3 linked regions of the Caenorhabditis elegans genome follow. The protein of the gene in region 2 purifies or fractionates together with the protein of the main gene of each other region. This does not show direct contact. Each region holds a gene or a part of one and is shown on either strand. Other genes may lie near its edges.

Region 1 (7,058 bases), on a different chromosome or scaffold from region 2:
TTGAAAAAATGGAAAAATTTCGAAATTTGTAGAAAAAATCGAAAAAAAAACGTGAAAATTTTTTGGTTGAGTGAGGCTATAGACTACAAACTACAAAAAATTGAGAGCCTCAACCAACGTTTTTAATGCTTTTTTGGTAGAGAATCGAGATTTTTTGAATTTTTTAACAATTTTTTCTTGTAAAAATAGGCAGGAAATGTGAAAAATACACTATTTTCAGCACAAAACTGCATTATTTGTGGGGAAAATTGGATTTTTTGGTTGAGTGAGGCTATAGACTACAAACTACAAGTATCTCAGCCTCAACCAACGTTTTTAATGCTTTTTTGGTAGAGAATCGAGATTTTTTGAATTTTTTAACAATTTTTTCTTGTAAAAATAGGCAGGAAATGTGAAAAATACACTATTTTCAGCACAAAACTGCATTATTTGTGGGGAAAATTGGATTTTTTGGTTGAGTGAGGCTATAGACTACAAACTACAAGTATCTCAGCCTCAACCAACGTTTTTAATGCCTTTTTATCAAAAAATCGTTATTTTTTTCACAAAAAATGGACAGAACTCACAAATTGGTTGAGAAAAGTTGAAAAAGGGACACTTTTTGGCATTAAATTGCATCATTTGTGGGGAAAATTGTATTTTTTCGTTGAGTGAGGCTAAGACTACAAACTACAAAAAATTGAGAGCCTCAACCAACGTTTTCAATGCTTTTTTGGTAGAAAATCGAGATTTTTTGAATTTTTAAATCATTTTTTCTTAAAAAATAGGCAGGAAATGTGAAAAATACACTATTTTCAGCACAAAACTGCATTATTTGTGAAGAAAATTTGATTTTTTCGTCGAGTGAGGCTATAGACTACAAACTATAAAAACTTGAGAGCCTCAACAAATTTTTTTTCACTAATTCACTCGGAACTTTCTTGAAAATTCGAAATTTTTGGCAATTTCTCACAAAAAAATCGGCGAAAATTGCAGAAAAACGAACAAAATTCGATGAAAATCGCAACATTTTGAGCAAAAACGTTCAACTTTTGTATTTTGTAGTCTCTTCGTGACTCAATGATGGTTGAAGCGATGGGACTACAAACTACAAATTCGGTTCAGCCTCAACCAACGTTTTCCGTGCTTTTTTGTTACAAAATCGACATTTTTTGATTTTTTTTCCTCAAAATATGGACAGAACTCACAAATTGGTTGAGAAAAGTTGAAAAATTGCCAATTTTTAGCACTAAATTGCATTATTTGTGGGGAAAATTGATTGATTTCATTGAGTGAGGCTATAGACTACAAACTACAAGTTTGTGTAGCCTCAACCAATTTTTTTGGTTTTTTTTATTCGAAATTCGAGTTTTTTAGTCATTTTTTCCGAATTTTCTCGCTAAAATCTAACCAAATTGATTGCAACGTCACATCGATAATTAACGAGGTCCTGAACGAGCTGTTTATAGTATAAAAGTGCGTAGGCGGCCCATAATCCTGATATAACCGAGTGGAATAGTGAGACACATTCGTTGGAGATTCGCCATTTCTTATTCGGTGGGATAGCCTGGAAAATGTGGAGTTTTTAGGTAAAAATTCGGAAAAATTTATATTTTCTGGCTGATTTGCTGATTTGGTTGAGGCTCAGACTACAAACTACAAGTTTGTGTAGCCTCAACCAAGTTTTGAGCACTTTTCAGGAGTTTTGGGAAAGAATTTCAACGTTTTTGTAAAGTTTTTATTGAAACTTGTAGTAGAAACTCTAGAAATAAGCGATTTTGATAGAAATTTCAACAATTTTCGGCGTTTTGAAGCAAAAGCTGATTGGTTGAGGCTAAGACTAAAAACTACAAATTTGTGTAGCCTCAACCAACTTTTTTTTTGATGAAAAACTGCTTAAAATGCTGTAAAATCGATATTTTTCAACAAAAAATGCTCAAATTTCGAAAAAAAAAACTGCTTTTTTAGCTCAAACTTCCTAGTTTTTGGATTTTTTTTGCAGTAAATTTCTGAATTCTCACCGACAGATCTCTGCTGTCGGGCTCGGGCTCCTGTTCGACCTGCTCGCCGGCTTCTGCCTCATTTTCAGGCGGATTTTCAGTATTTTCAGCTTCTTGACCGCCTCTCCGTCTCCTCCGAATGCGGTTTCGGATGTCGAAAAAGTTAAAGTTCGGCCACGTCCATTTGCCAAATAAGTACCAACGAACGATGAATTGCAGGGCTCGGAAGAAGGCAAATGAGACGATTACCTGGAGAAAATGGATTTTTGGGCCTAAATTCGCAGAAAATCGGGGGTTTTTGGCATTTTTTGAGTGAAAACTCACAAAAATAATCGAAGAAATCGTTGTTGATTTCATTGGAAAATTAGAAATAAATAATAATTAATTTTTCACGAAAAATTATTTAAAAAATTAATTTTTTTTTGAGTTTTATTTGAAATTATTTGAAATTTCGAATTTCTTACCCATAAAAACATTGTTGGCACTGGGCCAAGAAGATCCGTCAACAGCTCCGCCAGCTGCCGCATTTTCCAGAACTGTCTGAAAAAAAACTGATAAAAATTGGAAATATTACGGAAAAATAGGTAAAACAGTAGGTTTTTGGGTGAAAATACCCGGAAAATTCAAAAAAATTCGCTTAAAAAAGCTATAAAAACGATTTATTCAATGAATTTCTACAGGAAAAATTAAAAAATTAGAATTTTTTTTCGACTCTAAACTCTTCGCCAGGTTATTTCTGGGACGCCAATTGAGTAATAGTAGATTTGACCTGAAAATATCGATTTTCGGCATTAAATTCCACCAAAAATCCTACATTTTCTCTCGACAAATCCTCCAAAGTGGCGACTCGCTCAACTCCGTGCTCGTATCTGGCGAAAACTCTGCAAAAAACCGCAATTTCACCCAAAAATCGATAATTTCCCACCTTGGCACGATGCCAGACGCCTCACGAATCAGAATTGGGAACTGTGGATTGGCTTTTTTGATTCCAACATAGTCGTTTTCGATGAACGCGCGGACTCCCGCCGATGCTGGACTTTTCTGGCAGACGTGGATGCGAATCTCGCGAAGAGCGGTGCCGGCAAGACGGACAGACATCTGAAAATCGATATTTTAAGCTTTAAAATCAAAAAAAAACTTTAAAAAATGCAGAAAAATCCAATAAAACCAACAAAAACCGATTATTTTTTTCGAAATTTATTATAAAAATAAATAACCCGTGATCCCGCCCACTTTGGCAAGCGCGGCGCGCGGTATTTTGCAACTCCTACGCACAGTTTTGCTGTTTTCATGTTTTTTGAGCAAAGTCTTTGAAAATTGCTGATATTTTAGGAAATTTGCCTAAATTTTGCTAAATCTATCAAATTTTAGTGCTAAAACAAGTTTTTTCTCAATTTTTTGAGTTAAAAATCACGAAAAACCCATTAAAATCATCAAAAACCAATGACTCCGCCCCTTTTTGCAAGTGGCGCACGCAATTTTGCAACACCGCCGCACAGTTTTGCGGAAGACACTGCAAATCGAAGTGTCACGTCATCGCACATTTTTTCAGTTTTTCAACGTTATTTTCGATATTTTCAAACGAAAAACCACTTGATAAACTCAAAAAATCACTATTTTTACAGTAATTAATCGCTAAAAAATGGGCCGCGCGTCGTTTGAGTACGACGAAGTCGGCAACACATTTTACTATGTGCTCGTGGCATTCTACGCGATTATTCTGTTCCCGGCGACCTACCTATGCCTTCCAGGAGCCTCGAAACCAGGTAAAAATCGATTTTTTGGCTTAAAATTCATAATTTTTTCGTATTTTTTCGTATTTTTAGAACCAGAACACGTGATCAACGAACACGAGTGCCAATGCGACGGTTGTGACAAGAAAAGACGACAAAAAGCGGCGAATAAGCCGTGGCGACGGACTAAAAAGATTATTACCATCGTTGTAAGGCTTTAAAACTGAAAAATCCGGAAAAAATCCACTAAAAATCCCAAAAAATTGCAGGTTCTCGTTGTAGCGTGGGCAATTTTCGCGATAATTGTGAAAAAAACGACTGAAATCGAGCAAACTCACAAGGACTATGACCCGTATCAGATTTTGGGTCTGGATCAGGGCGCCGACGAGAAGGCCATCAAAAAGGCCTGGAGAGATATGTCAAAGGTGCTGGAAATTGGAATTTCGGCGATTTTTTACTGAGAAACCCCTATTTTCGACATTTTTCAGCTTGAAAATCGAAGAAAATCGAACTTTTTACTGTTTTTTACCTCGAAAAATGCAGTTTCCAAGTATTTTAGATGAAAAAATTGTTTTAATTTTTGGTTGAGGCTCGCGAATTTTGTAGTTTGTAGTGTTAGCCTCAACCAATTTTTGTGCGAAATCTCCGTAAAATATGGATTTTTTCGTGGAAAATGCCTCGAAAATCGAAATATTTTTGCAAAAACCTGATTTTCAAACACTTTCTCGCCAATAAATCTAATATTTAGGCTATTTTTACTGGAGAAACCCAATTTTTTCATAATTTATTGCAATTTTTACTCTAAAACTAAATTTTTTGCAATTTTCGGTCGGTTTTGCGTCAAGATCTATATTTTTGGTTTTTTTTTCCGCTGAAAACCAATTTTTTCGCTAAAATTGTTGAAAATTTATTTTTTCCCACAGAAAAGCCTCAAAATCTTGAAATTTCACTCCATTAGATATTTTCTCGAAAAAAAAGCTTATTTTCGACCTTTTTCGGCTTGAAAATCGATTTTTTTGACTTTTTTTGCCTCCAAAATTGCAGTTTCCAGGAATTTTAGGCTAAAAATTTGCATTAATTTTTGGTGAGGCTGGAGATTTTTGTAGTTTGTAGTGTGAGCCTCAACCAATAATCATGCATTTTTGGTTGAGGCTAATCACTTTTTGTAGTTTGTAGCGTGAACCTCAACCAATTTTTGTGCGAAATCTCTGTAAAATAGGGAATTTTTTTGTGGAAAATACCATAAAAATCATAATTTTTCGCCCAGAAAACTGAAAATTTGGCTATTTTTACTGGAAAAGCCCACTGTTTCCCAAATTTTATTGCATTTTTTCACCCAAAAACTAAATTTTCGGGCACTTTTATTGAATTTCCGACAGTTTTTCTCGAGAAAACATGAATTTTGTCCTGTTTTCGCCTTAAAATTTCTGAAATTTCAGTAATTTTTGGTGAGGCTGATAGTTTTTGTAGTTTGTAGTGTGAGCCTCAACAAATTTTTGTGCGAAATCGCCGTAAAATAAGGAATTTTTTGTGGAAAGTACCATAAAAATCATAATTTTTCGCCAAAAAACTGAAAATTTGGCTATTTTTACTGGAAAAGCCCACTGTTTCCCAAATTTTATTGCAATTTTCACCCAAAAACTGAATTTTCGGGCACTTTTATTGAATTTCAGACAGTTTTTCTCGGGAAAACATGATTTTTGCCCTGTTTTCGCCTTAAAATTTCTGAAATTTCAGTTTTTTCCCCACAAAAATGCTCAAAAATCTGGAATTTTTACCCAATTTTTTGCAGATTCACCATCCGGATCGTGGAGGAGACGCTCAATTCTTCGATAAAATCGCCAAGGCTCACCAGGCTCTCACCGATAAAGAAGCTCGCGAAAACTGGGAAAAATACGGAAATCCAGACGGCCCAACTGCCACAACTTTCGGAATTGCTCTGCCCAAATGGCTTGTGAGCAAAGAATACGGACTCTGGGTGCTCGCTTTCTATGGGCTCATTTTTATGATCATTTTGCCCGTTTCTGTTGTGAGTTTGGCGCTGGAAATGGCGGAAATTGGAAATTTTCGCGAAAAATCGATTTTTCAGGGAATGTGGTGGTATAGCTCGATCAAATACAGCGCTGACAAGGTTCTTCTGGACACCACACGAATGTACTATTATTTCATCAATCGGACACCGAGAATGGAGATTGGAAGTGAGGAAAATCGATTTTTCCACAAATTTTCAGCCAGAAAATTGCTTTTTTGGCGATTTTTCACCCAGAAAGTCGGATTTTTGGCAATTTTTCATCCTGAAAATTGATTTTTAGGCAATTTTCCATACAATAATGGAATTTTGAAAGTTTTCGACGATTTTCCGCTAAGAAATTCGGATTTTTGCCAATTTTCATGCAGGAAACTTGAGTTTTGACTGGTTTTCACCCAGAAAATCAGATTTTTGGCAATTTTTTTGGGCAAAAAACTCAAATTTTGACGATTTTTACAAAAGTCCTGGTTTTCCACGAAAAAAAAATTCAAATTTATTACAAAAAAAAAACCACTAATTTCAACAGAAAATCGCAATTTTGTGCTGGAAAATCCAAATTTTCTGGAAATTTATTAATCTCAAAGCTAAAAATTCGGTTTTTCAGCATTTTTGCCAAGTTTTAAATACATTTTCACCCTGAAAATCAATTATTTTTAATTTTAGGAATGATCGCCGTGCTCTCTGGATCCTTCGAATTCAGCAAACAGTACAATAAGGAGATTCAGGAACGAGAAACTGATGATTATGAGGTTCCGAGGCTCATGAAACAGATTGCCGGTGTTAATGATAAGGGAAAAGAGCAACCGTTGAGCCAACCGTATGCACTGAAATCTCGTGTACTTTTACACGCGTATCTGTCGAGATTACCACTGGAATCGCAAAATGATGCGTTGGAGGAGGATCAGAGGTTGGAAATTGATGGAAACCCAGGAAAAAGCATAAAAATCGCACAATTTTGATGGAAAATTCATAAAAATCGATGAAAAATGACCCGAAAAGCGAAAAAAATCTGGAAAAATAATTTAAATTGCCAAAATTTCACTATTTTTGGCGATTTTGTGATAAAAATTGGTTGAGGCTTACATTACAAACTACACAGTTTGGGAGTCTCACCCAAATTTGGTTGAGGCTCACGCTACAAACTACAAATTGTCGTAGCCTCAACCAATTTTTTTCGGCGAAAAACGGTTTGAAATGTGTTAAAATTCATATTTTTCCACAAAAAAACATCCAGAAAATTTGTAAAATTTGATCTTTTTCGACGAAAACTGCTCAAATTTCGAAAAAAAGTGAGAAAAATTGGATTCTCAGACTACA
Region 2 (7,907 bases):
TTAAAAAAATTTTTTCGAAAATTAAAAAAAAATTTTTTTTTTTCGCAACGTTATTATTTTTAAATATAATTTATTTAAACATTTACACCAGGAAAACATGAAAAAGAGAGAAACATTTGGGAAAAATGGGAATTTTTGACTCAATGAGAGCCAAGTGATAAGAGGAAGTTGATGATGATTGAAAAGGAAAGGGATATATTTTGAAAAAGAGAAATGAGCACACACGTGCTGAGCCATCACTCTAATGGAGCACCATGAACACTTTCAGATGGGAAAAAAAACGTGTGAGAATAAGTTAAGCCACCTCTGTTTTGCTTCTGCTCTGCAGTCAACTACTCAAATTACTGTGACGTCGTCTCGCTAATTAGTTGATTATCGTCGTCTTCTTCCTCCTTTTTTGCAGAAATCTCAGTCTTTGTGAGAAATTTGGTTAAAGTTTGGAAAAAAATTTCTGAAAAAAAAATTTTTTTGAAAATTTTTTAAAGAAATTTTTTTTCCGCCAATTTTATTTTTTTACAAATAATTTTTTAATGAGTTCTTGCTCACTGAGATTAACAGAAAAAATGTTTTTACCACAAAAAATTGAAATTTTTTTTTTCAAAATTCCAAAAAAAAATAAACATTTTTTTAGCTCAGCCAATTTTTTTTTCGATTTTTTAGAAATTTAAAATTTACAAAAAAAATCTGCAATTGTACAAAAAAATCCGGAAATTTGGGAAAAATCAGTAAAATCAGGAAAAAAGTCTGTAAAATTTGGAAAAAAATCTTAAAAATTTACAGAAAATCTGGAAAATTTCCAAAAAAAAATTTGGAAAATTTGGAAAAAAAATCTGTAAAATTTCGAAAAAAAATGTGTAAAATTTGGAAAAAAATCTGTAAAATCAGGAAAAAAATCTGTAAAATTTGGAAAAAATCTGTAAAATTTGGAAAAAAATCTGTAAAATTTGGAAAAAAAATCTTAAAAATTTACAGAAAATCTGGAAAATTTCCAAAAAAAAATTTGGAAAATTTGGAAAAAAATCTGCAAAATTTCGAAAAAAATCTGTAAATTTCGAAAAAAAAATCTGCAAAATTTCGAAAAAAAATCAGTAAAATTTGTAAACAAATCTGTAAAACTTCGAAAAAAATCTGTAAAATTAAAAAAAAATCACATATCACTTTAAAAAAAACCTAAATTTAAAAAAATTCAATAAAAAGTCCGCAGCAACAAAAGTTTTAAACTACAGTACTCTTTTTAAAGACGCACACACCTTTTCGCATCTAACAAAAATTTGTCGTGTCGAGACCCCGGGAACCGTATTTCTATCACCAATAATACACTACAAACTACACAATAACCCCCAAATCATGTGAACTATAATGTTTACTGATAAGATACGTGTGTGAGCACAACAACAGACAGAATCACTGTGCACGTATTATTACAGTTTTAATCGATAAAATTTCGAATTCGCTGAATTTTTTTTGCAACACAAAATTTAAAAAAAAATGCAAACTCTTGGAAACATATTCGAAAATGAGGATAACGTTTTTCTCAAACTTCCACACTATTTTAAGCCATTGCAAGCGGTATGTTTATTGATTTTTTTAATTTCCCGATGCACCATGTTCAATTTTTCAGATTAACGCTGTAATTCTGGCGGTTTGCATTGGATCGACGGCTTCCGGGGATAATGGGATTCTTTGGTTTACTCTAATTGTTCAATTAATTGTTAGTTTATCCTTTTATTAAATTTTTACCCCCATCAACCCCCTGAATTTCCAGATTTCCGCGGCGGCAACGGTAATCTTCGCCCTGCGGATTCAGGATGAGCTCATGGAGAGTATTTCGAATGGAAGCATCGCGTGGAATGTCGTGGAGCTCGTGTATTCCTTTATTTTGGCGGTCCTCTCCGTGATTTCCGTCTGGCTTTCGTTTTCGTTCGCGAATCGGTCGCTTTTCGGCACTTCTGCGGGATATATTGCTGCTGGGGTGGGTTTTAAGGGGGATTTTTAGGCAATATATATGTTAATTTCAGGTTTTCTTCATCGTACAAACAATTTTCTACGCTGTCCCATGTACTGTAATCTATCGTGAGGTACAGACAACTTCGGATACCGAACGTCAGAATATTGTGATCGAACCAGCACATCCATTCCGTTCTAATGCTTATCAAGACTTGTGATTTTGTAGATTTATTCATTTTTCTTTTTTGCTTATTTTCACAATAAATTATTCTTTTATTGACTCTAAAAAGCCCGACTTTCAACTATAAAATCATGTTTATTTATATAAATTAATTACCATAGGCACATTGCCCGTAAAATGTGATGCATTGTGTGCAAACACCGTGACGCGCAAATGCACCAACTGACGACCGGTCATTTATTTATTTACTTTTTAATCGCTTTCTTTTCAGATTTTATCGATTTTCCGTGATTTTTTATGGATAATTTTGTTGAAAAATCAGTTAAGCTTGTTATTAGAGTTATTTTAAGTCGAAAATCCAGATCCGAATCGATTTGAGCAAAATTTGGCTGAGAAATGCTATTTTGAAGAAAAATGGTTTTTTTTCTTCTAAATTGCTAGTTTTCTCCAGTTTTTTTCTTGGAAAAATCGAGAAAAGCTCGTTTTGTTTATAATATATATTTATTCTAAGCCAAGCTTCCCAATTTGTTTATAAAAATATAAATTTTCCAGACCGACAATGAGCGGTCGCAAAATTGCGGCGGCCACTGTTCAAAATCGCACCCAGACGCCATTCTGGAACTGGCTTAAGCGTAAGTTTTTCTTTTTCCGTTTTTTGCGCTCCAATATTAACAAATTAATGAAAATTTAGAAATTTCCAGAAAAGCTGTTGGCTTCCGACCGACTCCCCATCACCCCGCCACCAGGAATCGCCGGCCCGGACGGAAAAGCAGTCTACCAGAACCCTCTCCGCTTCCCAAACACCCAATCCGCTCGTCCTTGCTCCGCAGAGCTCCCGGCTCTTCCAGGAGGTGTTCATCACAAGCTCGCTGATAATTATTACTTGACAAGGTTCAAAAAATTCCACCCTGTGGGGAAATTGCTTTAAATCACGCCTTTGGTACCACAATGACCGAATATCATGATAAAAAAATTTAAAAGTTTTTTCTAGATTTTATATGATTTTTTGAAAATTGAAAAATTCTCAGTTTTCACCCCTAATTTCTATTTGAATTTCCGCCAATTGAACTCGTTCGTTGGAGCGCGCTTGCATTATTTTCGTTAATTTTTTAAAATTTATTTTCATTATTTCACTGATTTTCTCTATTTTTTTGGGGTTTTAATCGGAAAATGAAAGAAATAAGCAAGAAAATTCACAGTCCTTATTAAAAAGTAGCCGAAAATGCCTATTATGCGATCCGACGACGACGAGCCTGAAATTAGTATTAATCAGAGTTTTAGCCATTTTCAGTTACTTCTTAATAAAAATTTTGCATTTTTCTTGTTTATTTCTTTCATTTTCCGATTAAAAACCTTCAAAAAATAAAGAAAATCAGTGAAATAATGAAAATAAATTTTAAAAAATTAACGAAAATAATGCAAGCGCGCTCCAACGAACGAGTTCAATTGGCGGAAATTCAAATAGGAATTAGGGGGGAAAACTGAGATTTTTTCAATTTTCAAAAAATCATATAAAATCCAGAAAAATTTTTAAAATTTTTTTATCATGATATTCGGTCATTGTGGCCCCATAGGCATGTTTTAAAGCAATTTCCCCACAGGGAGTAGTCCATTAAAAATTTAAATTCTCTCAAAAAATCATCAAATTTTTTTTGCAGAGACGGCCGCCGAAACGTCGATGCTCCGAAAGTGCTCTACTCGTCTGGCGAGTTTGTTGGAGGAGAAAAAGCACAGCCAGCGCAAGTGAATCAAGGAGTCGCCACAAACTTCGGATTGACAGCTCCAACCCCTGGTTTTGGAGCCGAATGGAGCCGATCCAAGCAGAATGAGCTGGCCAGCCAGCAGAAGAACACCGAATTCGAGTATTTGCAGCGTTTCGACAAGTTCACGAAGAGCGCCTAAGCGTTTTTTTTTTGTAAATTAATTTTAGTGGTTCAGAATGTGACAGAAATGAAGCTTTTTTCTCGCGGTTTTTAGGGGTTTCCCTGCATTTTTTCCCTTTTTCCTGGTTTTTGTAGCCTTGAAATATCGATTTTCTTTGTTATTTTACCATTTTTATTATTCTAATTTATCAATTAAATTTTCCAAATACTTCCACTTCCAGACAACAATGAGACCGACCGTCGTTTCAATGGGCAAACACTTTGGAAATCTCGGCAAGATGTACGGAGAGCACCGCTTCGCGCTTGCTCCAAACGAGCAAAAGGCCTACAAGGGATTCTTCGATCAGGCCTTTGTTAAGACCTTCAAGACCTACGTCTGGGATCAGTGGTATTACTACATTCCACAGGTAGCCTTGGAAAATTGGAGAGAAAAAAAATTCCGGTTTTCAATGATTTTTAAGCTGAATTTCGTGATTTTTAGCGAAAAAAATCAGAAATTTTGTGAATTTGAGCACCGTTTCACACAAAAAAACCGGTCTTGCAAGCCTGCGGCACAGTTTAATGAGTGTCGATTTACGAGGGGTTTTGTACTACACGTGGACAAGTTGGAATTTGTTTTTTCCACCTGGATTTGAAGTTTTTGCTAGTTTTTTTGCAGTTAACATTCGAAATGGGCCCGGAAAATCGAAAAATTGCATTATTTTAACTAATTTTTTTTATTTTTATAGAGAAAAACAGGTACTTTCCGTCAAAAAATAAGAAAAACCGCCCTTTTTCAAAATAACAATACTGGTTTCCAGCAGATTTACACAATAAAGCGAAAAGCTCACTTTTTTTGTGTAAATCTGCTGGAAACTAGTATTGTTATTTTAAAAGAAACCGGTTTTCCAATTTTTCAACAAAAAAAAACTTGAAATTTCTGCCATTTTTCTTATTTTTAGACGAAAATTAGCTGTTTTTCTCTATAAAAATTTGACAAAATTAGATAAAATATTGCAATTTTTCGTTATTTTCAACAAAAAATTGTTTTTTTTTTTTTCGATTTTCCGGGCCCATTTCGAATGTTAAATGCTAATAAATACACACTTTTGCACCACGTGTAGTACAAAATCCTCCGTAAATCGACAGGGCTCTCAAGGCTTGCAAAACCTCTTTTTCAGGCCGAAAAAGCCCGTTAATCTCTAATTTTCCAGACCATCGGAGCCTACTTGCTCTACGACTGGGCCAAGAAGACGAACGTCGCCGCCAACCGAAAGAATCCAGCCGACTTTGCCAACGATCAATAATAAGCCGCCGGATATCTAATTCTCTCGATTTCTGTAGTCTCCTTCTTCATTTTTTTGTGTCGCTGATTGTCGTTTCTAGTGAATTTTAAATTTAAATCGATTTTTTTTTGTAAAAAAAGAGGCAATTGATCCTCCCGATATGTTTTTTTTTACTTTTTTTAACTGAAAAATTGCAATTTCCAATTTTTTTTGTTCAGCCGAGCGCAATAATGAATCGGCTTTCCCAATTCAAACGGAGCTACTCGTTGCTCCCACAAGGAGCTCAAGCGTATATTGGCGGAAAATGGACGGCTTCTGAGACGGGGAACTCGTTTGATGTGCTCAATCCGTTTAATAATGAAGTTGTCGATAGAGCTACGAATTGTACTGTTAAGGATGCGGAGAAGGTTGGGGAAAATGGGGGAAAAAAACTGAAATTTCTGCATTTTTTCGTTAATTTTTACAAAAAAAATGCTCCTCTTTTTCCTGAAAAATTGGGAAATTTGAGCCAAAAATGCGTGATTTTGCTCAAAAATACGGTATTTACTGGGTCTCGAAACGACTTTTTTAAAATTAAATGCGAAAAGGTGTGCGCCTTTAAAGAGTACTGTAGCTTAAAAGTTCCGTGTTTGCGGAATATTTATCGATTTTTCATGTTTTTCAATGAAAATATATTTATTTATTGAAAAATATTAAAACAAAATTCTAAAAAAAACATGATTTTTCGAGAAATCGATAAAAGTTTCGCAGAAATAAAAATTCAAAACTACAGTACTCTTTAAAGGCGCACACACTTTCGAATTTAACAAAAAGTTGTCGCGTCGAGACCTGGAACCACAATTTTTGGGAAAATGGGGAAAACTGAAATTTCTGCCTTTTTTCATTAATTTTTATGAAAAAAAAATTGATTTTTTCTGGAAAATTTGGGAAATTTTAGTCAAAAAATGACTAGTTTCGCAAAATTTTGCTCAAAAATACGGTACCGGCGGGTCTCGACGCGGCATTTTTTGTTAAATGCAACAGGATAAAGGGGGGATGCGCCTTTAAAGAGTACTGTAGCTCCAAACTATTGGAATTTTTATGAAAAATTGAAATAAAACTGAAAAAAATTGATGAAAATTCCCAAGCTACAGTACTCTTTAAAGGCGCACTCCTTTTCGCATTTAACAAAAATACAAAAATTGTCGTGTCGAGACTCCTGCCACCGTATTTTTGGAGTAAAATTTAGCGAATTTAGGATTTTTTGACAAAAATTACCCCCAATTTTTCAGTCAAAAATTAACGTAAAAATGGAGAAATTTCAGTTTTTTCGTTAAAATTTACAAAAAAAAAATGCAGGCATCACGTGGTGTCAGAGTGTCTCTCATTTCGGCTTGATCTACGTAGATCTACAAAAAATGCGGTTCTCAACTGATTTCGCATGGCTAAGAACGTGCTGACGTCACATTTTTTGGGCAACAAAAAATTCCCGCATTTTTTGTAGATCAAACCGTGATGGTGACGCATCTGAATTTTTCAAAAATTCAAAAATTGATGACCGACATTTTTCTCACTTTCCAGGCCGTCCACTCAGCGCTAGAAGGCTTCGACAAATGGGCCCACACCTATTCAGCGAAGCAACGAGGCGCAATTCTTCACAAATGGTTCGAAATCCTTGTCCAACGTGAAACCGAGCTAGCCACCCTTCTCACAAAAGAGCAAGGCAAACCGCTGGCCGAGGCTCGCGGCGAAATCCAATACTCGGCCGCCTACTTCGACTGGTACGCCGGAGAGGCTCGTCGTGTCTACGGACAAGTCGTTCCGTCGGCCGTCGTAAATCGTCTCCATCTACACACCCGTGAGCCGATCGGAGTTGTAGCTCTCATCGCGCCATGGAACTTCCCGACTGCAATGATTGCTCGGAAAGCGGCGGCGGCGCTTTCTGTCGGGTGCTCGGCAGTCGTGAAGCCATCTGGAGATACGCCGCTTTCAGCGTTGGCTCTTGCTCAGACTGCTGAAGAAGCTGGGATTCCGGCCGGCGTGTTCAATGTGATCACTGCAGATCACTCGAATACTGCCGAGATTTCCAAGTACCTTTGCGAGTCTACAGATGTGTCGGCGATCAGCTTCACTGGAAGTACCCCCGTTGGAAAGTTGCTTCTCGCACAGTCAGCGTCGACTGTGAAGAGAGTTTGTCTGGAGCTCGGTGGAAATGCTCCGCTGATCGTTTTCGATGATGCTGATCTTGATGTCGCTGTGAATGTTAGTGTTACACAAAAGGAGTCAGAGTCAGAAAGTCCCATTTCGCTTTGATCTACAAAAAATGCGGGAGAAGATCTTCTCGAGACGCGCAGACATCTGATCTGATTTCGCAGCGTGCTGACGTCATAAATTTTATGGGAAAAAAATTCCCGCATTTTTGTAGATCAAACTGCGCAGTGAGACAGCCTGACACCACGTGGCGTGTTACAGTATTACGTCTGGGTCTCGCCACGCGAACACTGAGATACAGTGAGATACAGTAACTGAGCCTCAACGTGGCGAGACCCAAATTGGCTCTTTGTTGCACAATGCCCAGGGGTGGGCGGCAAACGATTTTTTCCGGCAAAGGCAAATTGCCGGGATTGAAAATTTCTGGCAAATCGGCATATT
Region 3 (7,570 bases), on a different chromosome or scaffold from region 2:
TAAATATTGAAATATTTTAATCAATTTTTTTCAAATCCAAAATTCAGATATGAAGTACACAATGGAGACGAGCTGACACCAGCAATCATTGTTCATCCATGCGAGACCCCAATTGACGTACCATCAGCAATTGAAATGCCACGAACTCCACGCCCTTCATCTCCATGTGAACAGTAATTATCTTGGATATCCCTTTCCTTCTCATTCTTCTTGTTATTCATTTTTCTCTTCCAGCTTTACAATCATCCTCATTCTATTTGTGTTGCACTCCTTCTTCTCCAATTTTTTCATTTTTTCCTTGTTTCAACTTCAATCCGCAGAGCTTATTCTGCCGCGGGTAGACGTGTCTCTTCCTAATCCAACAATCCACTTATTTTTGCTGATATTTTGTTTTTGTAAATATATCCCAAAAATTGTTTACCACCCAATACTTACTATATATTCCTTTTTATGGAATGAATCTTCAAAATGAAAAAAAAAGAAAATAATGCAAATAAATTATTTGTATTTAAAAGAACTGACAATATCACATGAAAAGAAGGAAAAAGCAAGTATAATATACCCGAGCCCTGATAAAAAGTTATTCGTTAATATTTAAGTTCTAAACCGTCATTGGATCCTTCCTAGCAACAGATACATCATGATATCCCATTGCTCTCGCCACGAATCTTCTTATCATATTATCCCAAGACGTCTTGTTCTTGCTGTACAAATTCAAATAAATTGCCAGCATCACCACAGATCCCGCATAAACATATTCGATGGTGAACGGCTTCGAGAAGAGCATGAACGACAGAATTATAGTCAGTGCCTTGCGAAGAGTTGTCACAGTAACCGCAACAAGTGCTCCAAACACTTTGATATGAGTGAGCACAACGTTGACACCGAGATATCCAAGACATGAGAGGATCAGTGCGTAGCCGAATGTTTTCCACGAGTTCTCCAGGAAAAATGGAATTGCACTGAAGACTTCACCGGAGAGCACGACAAATGCGAAAATGAACACTGAGCCAATTCCATATGAGTAGAGAACCATTTCATTACTAGATCCACCGTACTTCTTCATATTCTTTTCTTGAATATTTCCAATTACAGCATCTGCCAGAAGAGCTCCACAAATCATGATGTATCCTCGAGAATCGAAATTTGGGGATACTTTATTATCGGCCAATGTGAACATGATAATTCCTGGAAATAAAATATTTAATTAATTTTTTAAAATCCAAAATCCTCACCTAAACTCATTAACATCGCCGCACCAATATCAATCCATCCATATCGTTTTCCTTGGATCAGAATCCCTCCAATGAGCACTGGAATTAGCTTGCAGCACTTGAAAATCACTTGAGTTGGATAATTTAAATATCCAACGGATGCATTCGAAAGTCCCATTGTTGCTACTGTGAAAAAGGCAATTACACCGTAGATTCTCCAAGGGATCCTGGAAAAATTAAATATTTTTTAATTCTGAATTTTGTACTATTTGTACTACATATACGCGAAATATTGCGATTGTTGCATCAAAACCGGTCTCAACACGGCAATTTTTGTGGAAAATGGTGTGCGCCTTTGAAGATTACTGTAGTTTCAAACTTTCGCACCTTAGTTCCTGTGGAATTTTTATCGACTTTACAGTTTTTCCCTTTTTTTAATTTGTTTAATTTTTTTGTTTTAAATTTTGAATAAATGTATTTATTTTATTAATAAACAAAATCGAGAAAAAATCCGTAGCAACAAAAGTTTGAAGTTACAGTACTCTTTAAAGGCACACATCAGATTTCATTAAACAAAAAAGCGTGTCGAGACCTATTTACTGACGCACAAATCGCGAAATTTGAATAATAATTGAAAACTCACATTCGTTTCGTGTTATGCCAAATAATACATTCCGTATATCCACATCCGCTATAAATCAGGAATTGAATAAGTGTTAACGTCCATCCAAATGGTTTCATTCCAGGTAGTTTGAATATTAATTCCTGAAATATTTTTTTTCTTCCAAACATTTTTTTATGTAAACTTCTAATCTCACCTGCATATACCCGTATCCTATGTACAAAATAAATATTGCTAAAGAAAGAAGAACAAATTGAAGCCATTTTGGTCTGAAAATCATGAATTCACAAATTAAATCGGCTCGAGATTTCATAATGTATTCTCGATTTTATCGCTTTTGAAATTCCGCTTTAAAATTGAAAATTAAAACTCACTTTCTGGCAATATTAAACCCTAACAGATGAATTGGTTCTACATCCTCTTTGACATGACGTGGCAGCATATGAACACTACAATCAGAATGTATTTGAGCTGCAGTCATTTGAAAGAGTGGGTGGAAAGTGCGCAAATAAAGGGAAATTGAGATCTAAATCAGATAGGCATTTGTTCAGATTGTCCATTGGGGAAAGCCTGAACCGCGACTACGTTCACGGCTTTTGAAAAGGGGGTATCGATCTTTTTGCGCGTTGGCAATAGTTTCTGCGCTACGTCTCTCTATGCATACGTTATTCATACCGAAATAAAAATTCACCGGCGTGATATATTGCAGAACCTTTCCTATACTTTCTGCTCCCGAAAATATTATCCCAACAACTTGTGAATGTGTACCATTTTGTAATTAAAGACGAACAAATAGGGAACAATAACAATTTATTGGAACAACGAACAGATTAGTTCTTGGAGGCAAAGTAGTCGGTGAGGATGGCACGTCCTTGCTCCTCATTTCCCCAGTTGGTGACAACGGCGGATGAGCATCCAACGACCTTGCGGGCCTTTCCTTCCTTATCGTACTTGCAGAGTCCGCAGTACTCTCCGATGATCTTCTTATCGGCGACCTTAATGAGTGGAATCTGGTGCTCGGCGCAGAGGGTCTCGACAAGCTTGACGTATTGTGGCTCGTCGCAGTTCTCGGCGAGGACACAGAAGTGAGCCTCACGCCTGAAAATTGTTTGTAAAATCTTTGGAACACATACAGCATGATACCAGTACACGTGTGGCAGAGTAACAACTTATCTACCAGCTTATTGGGGTCACATCGATTCTAGAACCGGCGACGTTGAAAAATAAGTGGAACTAAAATACAAACTAAAATATCAATTACTTACTTGTCAAGAGCCTTGCAGGTCTCGTGGAGTCCCTTGGCGAGTCCATCAGCGTGGTGGGCAGCGCGAAGAACAGCTCTCAAAGCTCCTTCCTTGTCCATTGGTCCCTGGGCGACGGCGGCTGGGGCCACTTGAACATCTCTAAAATTATCCAATATTTTAATAGCCTTCATAAAAACTTAATTTTGCTTTTAAGACAAGGAATCTAATTGTTCGAACAACTTTGGAACCGATACAGCTTCAAGGCCAGTACCCGTGTGGCAGTAGAACGGTTTTTATTGCACACTACGATAGGAAAACTATGACTTCAAAATCTTCCGATATAATTGGTAGGTGCAAGATTTTTCAGAAAAAAACAAAAATAACCTACCCTCCTGCGTCAGACATTGTTGTTTGCAGCAAGAGTCCTTGATGCTTACCTGAAAATTAGAAATTTCGACTCGTTAATATTGTTTTCACAAAATATATTTCAAGATTTGAGAAAAAGAAAAAAAGAAAAGAAAAAATTGGGAAAATCAACGGAAAAGAGGGAAGCATGAAATGTTTCTGTATCACTCCGCAGCATGTCTTTGAGTCGCGGCACAGTGAAATGTGCTATAGAGCGCGCTTGCCATTTGTCGATTTACGGAGACTTGCACGCGGGAAGCTTTGAATTTCAACAGTTTTCTGTATTTTCTCAGTCTTCATCAAACATTCATTAGCATTTTTCAGGCAAATAAAGGAGTCAAATGGCTAACGAAACGCTGGAACATGTTCTTATTTACTTTTTGGAGAAGCTAAAAGACGTTCGATGCAACCAATCTCCAGAATTACTTCAAAAGCTGACACTCTCACAGTACAAGGCAAGTTGTCGAGCTTTCAGTCCATTTAAATTATTTACATGAATTTCAGACTCTTGCACAATTGGATGTGGACATGCGAATGAGACTGACGCAGGAAATGGAGAGCTATGTGGCGGATCATGTAGAAATTATGAAACTCGAGCTGCAATTGAAGAACAAGAAATGTGCGCTCGCTGGAAAACTGAAACAGTTGGGGACAACGTTTGATAAAGCTATTGTGGAGACTAAAGGTGAGTTGCAATAATTTTTTCACGAAAAAATAGAAAAATTCAGAACGAAACGAGCATTTGCGGATTGGCAGCATTGATTTTCTGAATCCCGTGGTTGAGAAAGTGGAAAAAATAGTTTTTGCAAAGCCAGAAATGCCACAAATATCAGTCGAACAAGGATCAGTTCTCGGTGAATCTGCGAGACGTCAACCGGAGCTTGTCTCTGTAATGGCTTCCATAATGAAACCACCAACATTTTCATCATTGGTGATGACAGGAAGGACTGAAAAGAAAGAAAATATTCCGGAGACCAAAAGCTACAGTCTTGATGATTCTTTGATAAACGGACATGGTAAATTGAATTAGTTTGTCTTTGCAATAAAAACATGCCATTTCAGACATATCAATGGTGAATACATCCAACGAACGACGAAAACTGGCTTTTGATGAGTTGGACGATGAAGAACTGCAAACTCCAGCAAGAAAACCACAAAGAACTCCATCCAGAGCTCCAGAACGGAATCCTCTTGATCTATTTTCCCTACAAGCACCGCCCGTCTTCACATCTTCAGTTGGTCGAGCATTCAATCAGACAAGGGATTGATTTTCTGAATTTTTGATACTAAATATTATTTTATTTATCTGTACAAATGTGGATATGAATACAATTTTCTGAAAATGAAATCAAATGAATTTGAAAATCCAACCAGTTTTCAACTGTGAATATTTTTAGAATTTTCGCATGTTCTAGTCAACGTTTTAGACAAAGTTTCAGCAATGGAAGAAGAGGAATGTTTATCACATTCATCACCATCAACCGATAATTCTCTTGAACTTCGACTGCAACGAGTGACTGCGGAAAACATAAAAACAGTTCGAATCCTCGTTTCAAGCATATTTCCGGTGTCGTACAGCGACAAATTTTATCAAGAATGTATGAATAACGAATTAACAGGAGTTGTAATACGAAACGGCGAGGCAATCGCCATAGTTGCTGTAAAGCCCGAGAATTTCGAAACAGGACGCGTACTTTATATAAGAAGCTTTGGAGGTTTGTAAATTTTTGAGAAATTAAGATTTTTTCATTTAAAATTCAAGAAAAATGTTATAAAATTAAGTTTTCTAAAAATTCTAAAATATGGTCTCAAAGTTCAGAAAAAAGTCTGGTTTTAAAACAAAAATCAAAAATTAAAAAATTAAGATTTAAATTGATTTTCACTAAAGTCGTTTTTTAGAAGATCTTCCATTTTTTTCAGTTAAAATTTTTTCGAAGCTATTTTCTAATTAAAAGTGTCATTTTAACCTCAAAAATTTGTAGAAAAAGTAACATTTTGATAAAAAGTAAATTTTGCAAAATCTAAAAAATATTTTTCAAAATATGATTAATCAATACTTTAAAAAGATCTATTTCGTATTCTCAAAAAAAATTTCTTGATACATTTTTCAAAAAGAAACAAAAAAGTGTTGAAAAATCTACTGAAATAATTGGAAAAAACCAAAAATAAATTTAAAAAACATTTTTTACAGTGTTTTCCCACTTTATTTTAATTCTTTAATTGAAGATTGAACTTTCTTTCCATTTTTCTCTAAAACTGCGGACAATTTTCTGATTTCTAAAATATAACTTTTAATTTTTAGAAATTGAAAACAAAATTTGCAAAAATTTATTTTTTCCAGTTCATCCCCGTCACCGCGAAGCTGGTCTCGGCTCATTTCTGATGGATTTCGTCGACGAAAAGGGAAAATTATTGAAATTGCCTCACGCGATGCTCCATGTGCAGACTTCCAACAAAACTGCGATCGAATTCTACAAGAACCGCGGCTTCAACGTGGATTGTCTCGTTCCACAATACTATCAACGATGCAGTCCTCCTGATGCGTTTATCATGCGAAAGCCATTCCATTAATTTACATAAAAAAGATAAAGTTGAAACATAAATTCACCAGATTCATTCGATTGATTTTGTTTTTAAATCTTGAATCTAAAAGCTCACAACAACATTCGTTATAAAACAAGAAGTATGTTAAACAGAATAAAAATGGATTTGATTTGATTCGGGAGGCTACTAAATACAAACAATATAGAAAACATCACAGAGATGGACGACGGCTATGAATTCAACAGGAGAGAGAAATAGAGATAATTCCCTACTAAAATGTTTAGAATAAGAAGAACCGGCTTTTTAGAAGTGAGTTATAGATATCGAGGGAGAAGTGAAAAGGAGAATTATAGAGGAATTAAATATATATATATAAAGCCATAGAATCTTTAATTTTTCGGCGTCGTAGGTGACGGGGTCTTTGTTGTCATGATACTTGATGTGGATGGCGGAAGGAGACTGTTGAACAGTTTGATATTCTCATTTGAATACGACGGTGGCAAGAAGAACTCGCTTCGTGTTACTGCTTCTCGATGAAGCTTCTTTCTGGCTCTGAAAATCAAAAAATATGGAAACTGTTCGAAAAGTCAAATGGTGGACGTACCTTAATGAGATTCGCTCAGCGGAATTATCGTTGATTTTATTATTTGATACAGATCGTAGGTTTACAGAATTCGCAAGCGGTTGTGCCGCTGATGATACACGCATTGATGAGGCAGCTATTGGAAATCTGAAAATTATTGATATGAATAAAAAATCTATTGAAATTTGCACAGCAATGAAAGTTCGGAACTACAGTACTCTTTAAAGGCGCATCACCGTTTATTTTTACGGATTCCGTATTTTTCGCGGCTGCGTAATATAACTTTGAGAAAAAACTGACCTAGTACTGGGGAAAACGATGAGGCGGTCCCTGATCTCTGCGACGGTATTGGCTCGGCGAGCCGCCGGCTCCTCCACCACGTGTCTCGTAGGCTTCTCCCCCGAAGTTTGTTGCAAACGCAGCCGCGCTGAGCCCACCGCCGTGTCTTGGAATAAAGAGTCGGGTCGATCCACCATTGAATTTTCCAGATCGAGCATCCGCATACTTCTCCTTCGCGGCATATTGGAACCCAGTTGATGATGATCCAGAGGCAACGGCTCCACTCGAAGTGCTCCGTCCCCGACGGTCAGTGGCCGAGGCCGACGAACCACTGACGGGCTCGACGACGAACGATTCGCCTCGTTCGATGGCCGAAGCGGCTGCGATCCGTACCGGCGATGATCCGTACGAGGACTTGATGACCGGAGCGGCGCCGACTGCTCCACCGCCAGTGTACGCGAACCACGAGTTGAACATGTGATGGTAGTCGGCGTTACCACGTCCACTACCGCTACCCTGTTGATATCTCGTTGATTGTTGGGGAATTTGTTGATGGTAGGCGACGTCTTCATCGTATTCGGCGGGATAGACACGACGCATCGCTCCACTGGTTTTCGAGATACTTCCACTGGAGGTTTGTGGTGGTATTCGGGAACCGACATGGTACGCATTAGATCTG

What was found. Proteins that work in one complex are often made in the same cells at the same time.
Region 1: the proteins of F45H10.2 (region 2) and ndua-2 fractionate together in Caenorhabditis elegans (co-fractionation; one large-scale study listed by BioGRID). This does not show direct contact.
Region 3: the proteins of F45H10.2 (region 2) and rps-12 fractionate together in Caenorhabditis elegans (co-fractionation; one large-scale study listed by BioGRID). This does not show direct contact.

Annotation. Positions count from the first base shown.
Region 1 is NC_003279.8:14,109,655-14,116,712, reverse strand, and holds ndua-2 (NADH dehydrogenase [ubiquinone] 1 alpha subcomplex subunit 2), read right to left. Parts: upstream 3,078-7,058; coding exon 2,905-3,077; intron 2,861-2,904; coding exon 2,794-2,860; intron 2,749-2,793; coding exon 2,710-2,748; 3' UTR 2,628-2,709; downstream 1-2,627. Other genes in the region: TLC domain-containing protein fld-1, read right to left, coding at 1,391-1,546, 2,001-2,228, 2,444-2,506; dnj-29 (J domain-containing protein), read left to right, coding at 3,622-3,745, 3,806-3,921, 3,982-4,137, 5,505-5,741, 5,802-5,910, 6,405-6,648.
Region 2 is NC_003280.10:13,489,374-13,497,280, reverse strand, and holds F45H10.2 (Cytochrome b-c1 complex subunit 8), read left to right. Parts: upstream 1-4,232; 5' UTR 4,233-4,238; coding exon 4,239-4,418; intron 4,419-5,204; coding exon 5,205-5,297; 3' UTR 5,298-5,393; downstream 5,394-7,907. Other genes in the region: drr-1 (MARVEL domain-containing protein), read left to right, coding at 1,489-1,569, 1,622-1,711, 1,766-1,972, 2,019-2,165; ndua-7 (NADH dehydrogenase [ubiquinone] 1 alpha subcomplex subunit 7), read left to right, coding at 2,688-2,760, 2,830-3,019, 3,787-4,030; alh-7 (Succinate-semialdehyde dehydrogenase, mitochondrial), read left to right, coding at 5,507-5,683, 6,837-7,517.
Region 3 is NC_003281.10:5,675,245-5,682,814, reverse strand, and holds rps-12 (Small ribosomal subunit protein eS12), read right to left. Parts: upstream 3,518-7,570; 5' UTR 3,486-3,517; coding exon 3,469-3,485; intron 3,438-3,468; exon of another isoform or gene 3,306-3,437; intron 3,240-3,305; coding exon 3,102-3,239; intron 3,071-3,101; exon of another isoform or gene 2,940-3,070; intron 2,935-2,939; coding exon 2,667-2,934; 3' UTR 2,628-2,666; downstream 1-2,627. Other genes in the region: rcan-1 (Calcipressin-like protein), read left to right, coding at 48-177; pst-2 (Adenosine 3'-phospho 5'-phosphosulfate transporter 2), read right to left, coding at 602-1,188, 1,236-1,441, 1,858-1,979, 2,033-2,105, 2,211-2,317; ska-3 (Spindle and Kinetochore-Associated protein homolog), read left to right, coding at 3,827-3,940, 3,990-4,170, 4,214-4,501, 4,548-4,753; F54E7.9 (N-terminal methionine N(alpha)-acetyltransferase NatE), read left to right, coding at 4,927-5,200, 5,827-6,056; par-3 (PDZ domain-containing protein), read right to left, coding at 6,419-6,581, 6,634-6,759, 6,913-7,567. UniProt on the Caenorhabditis elegans protein: Part of the small subunit (SSU) processome, first precursor of the small eukaryotic ribosomal subunit.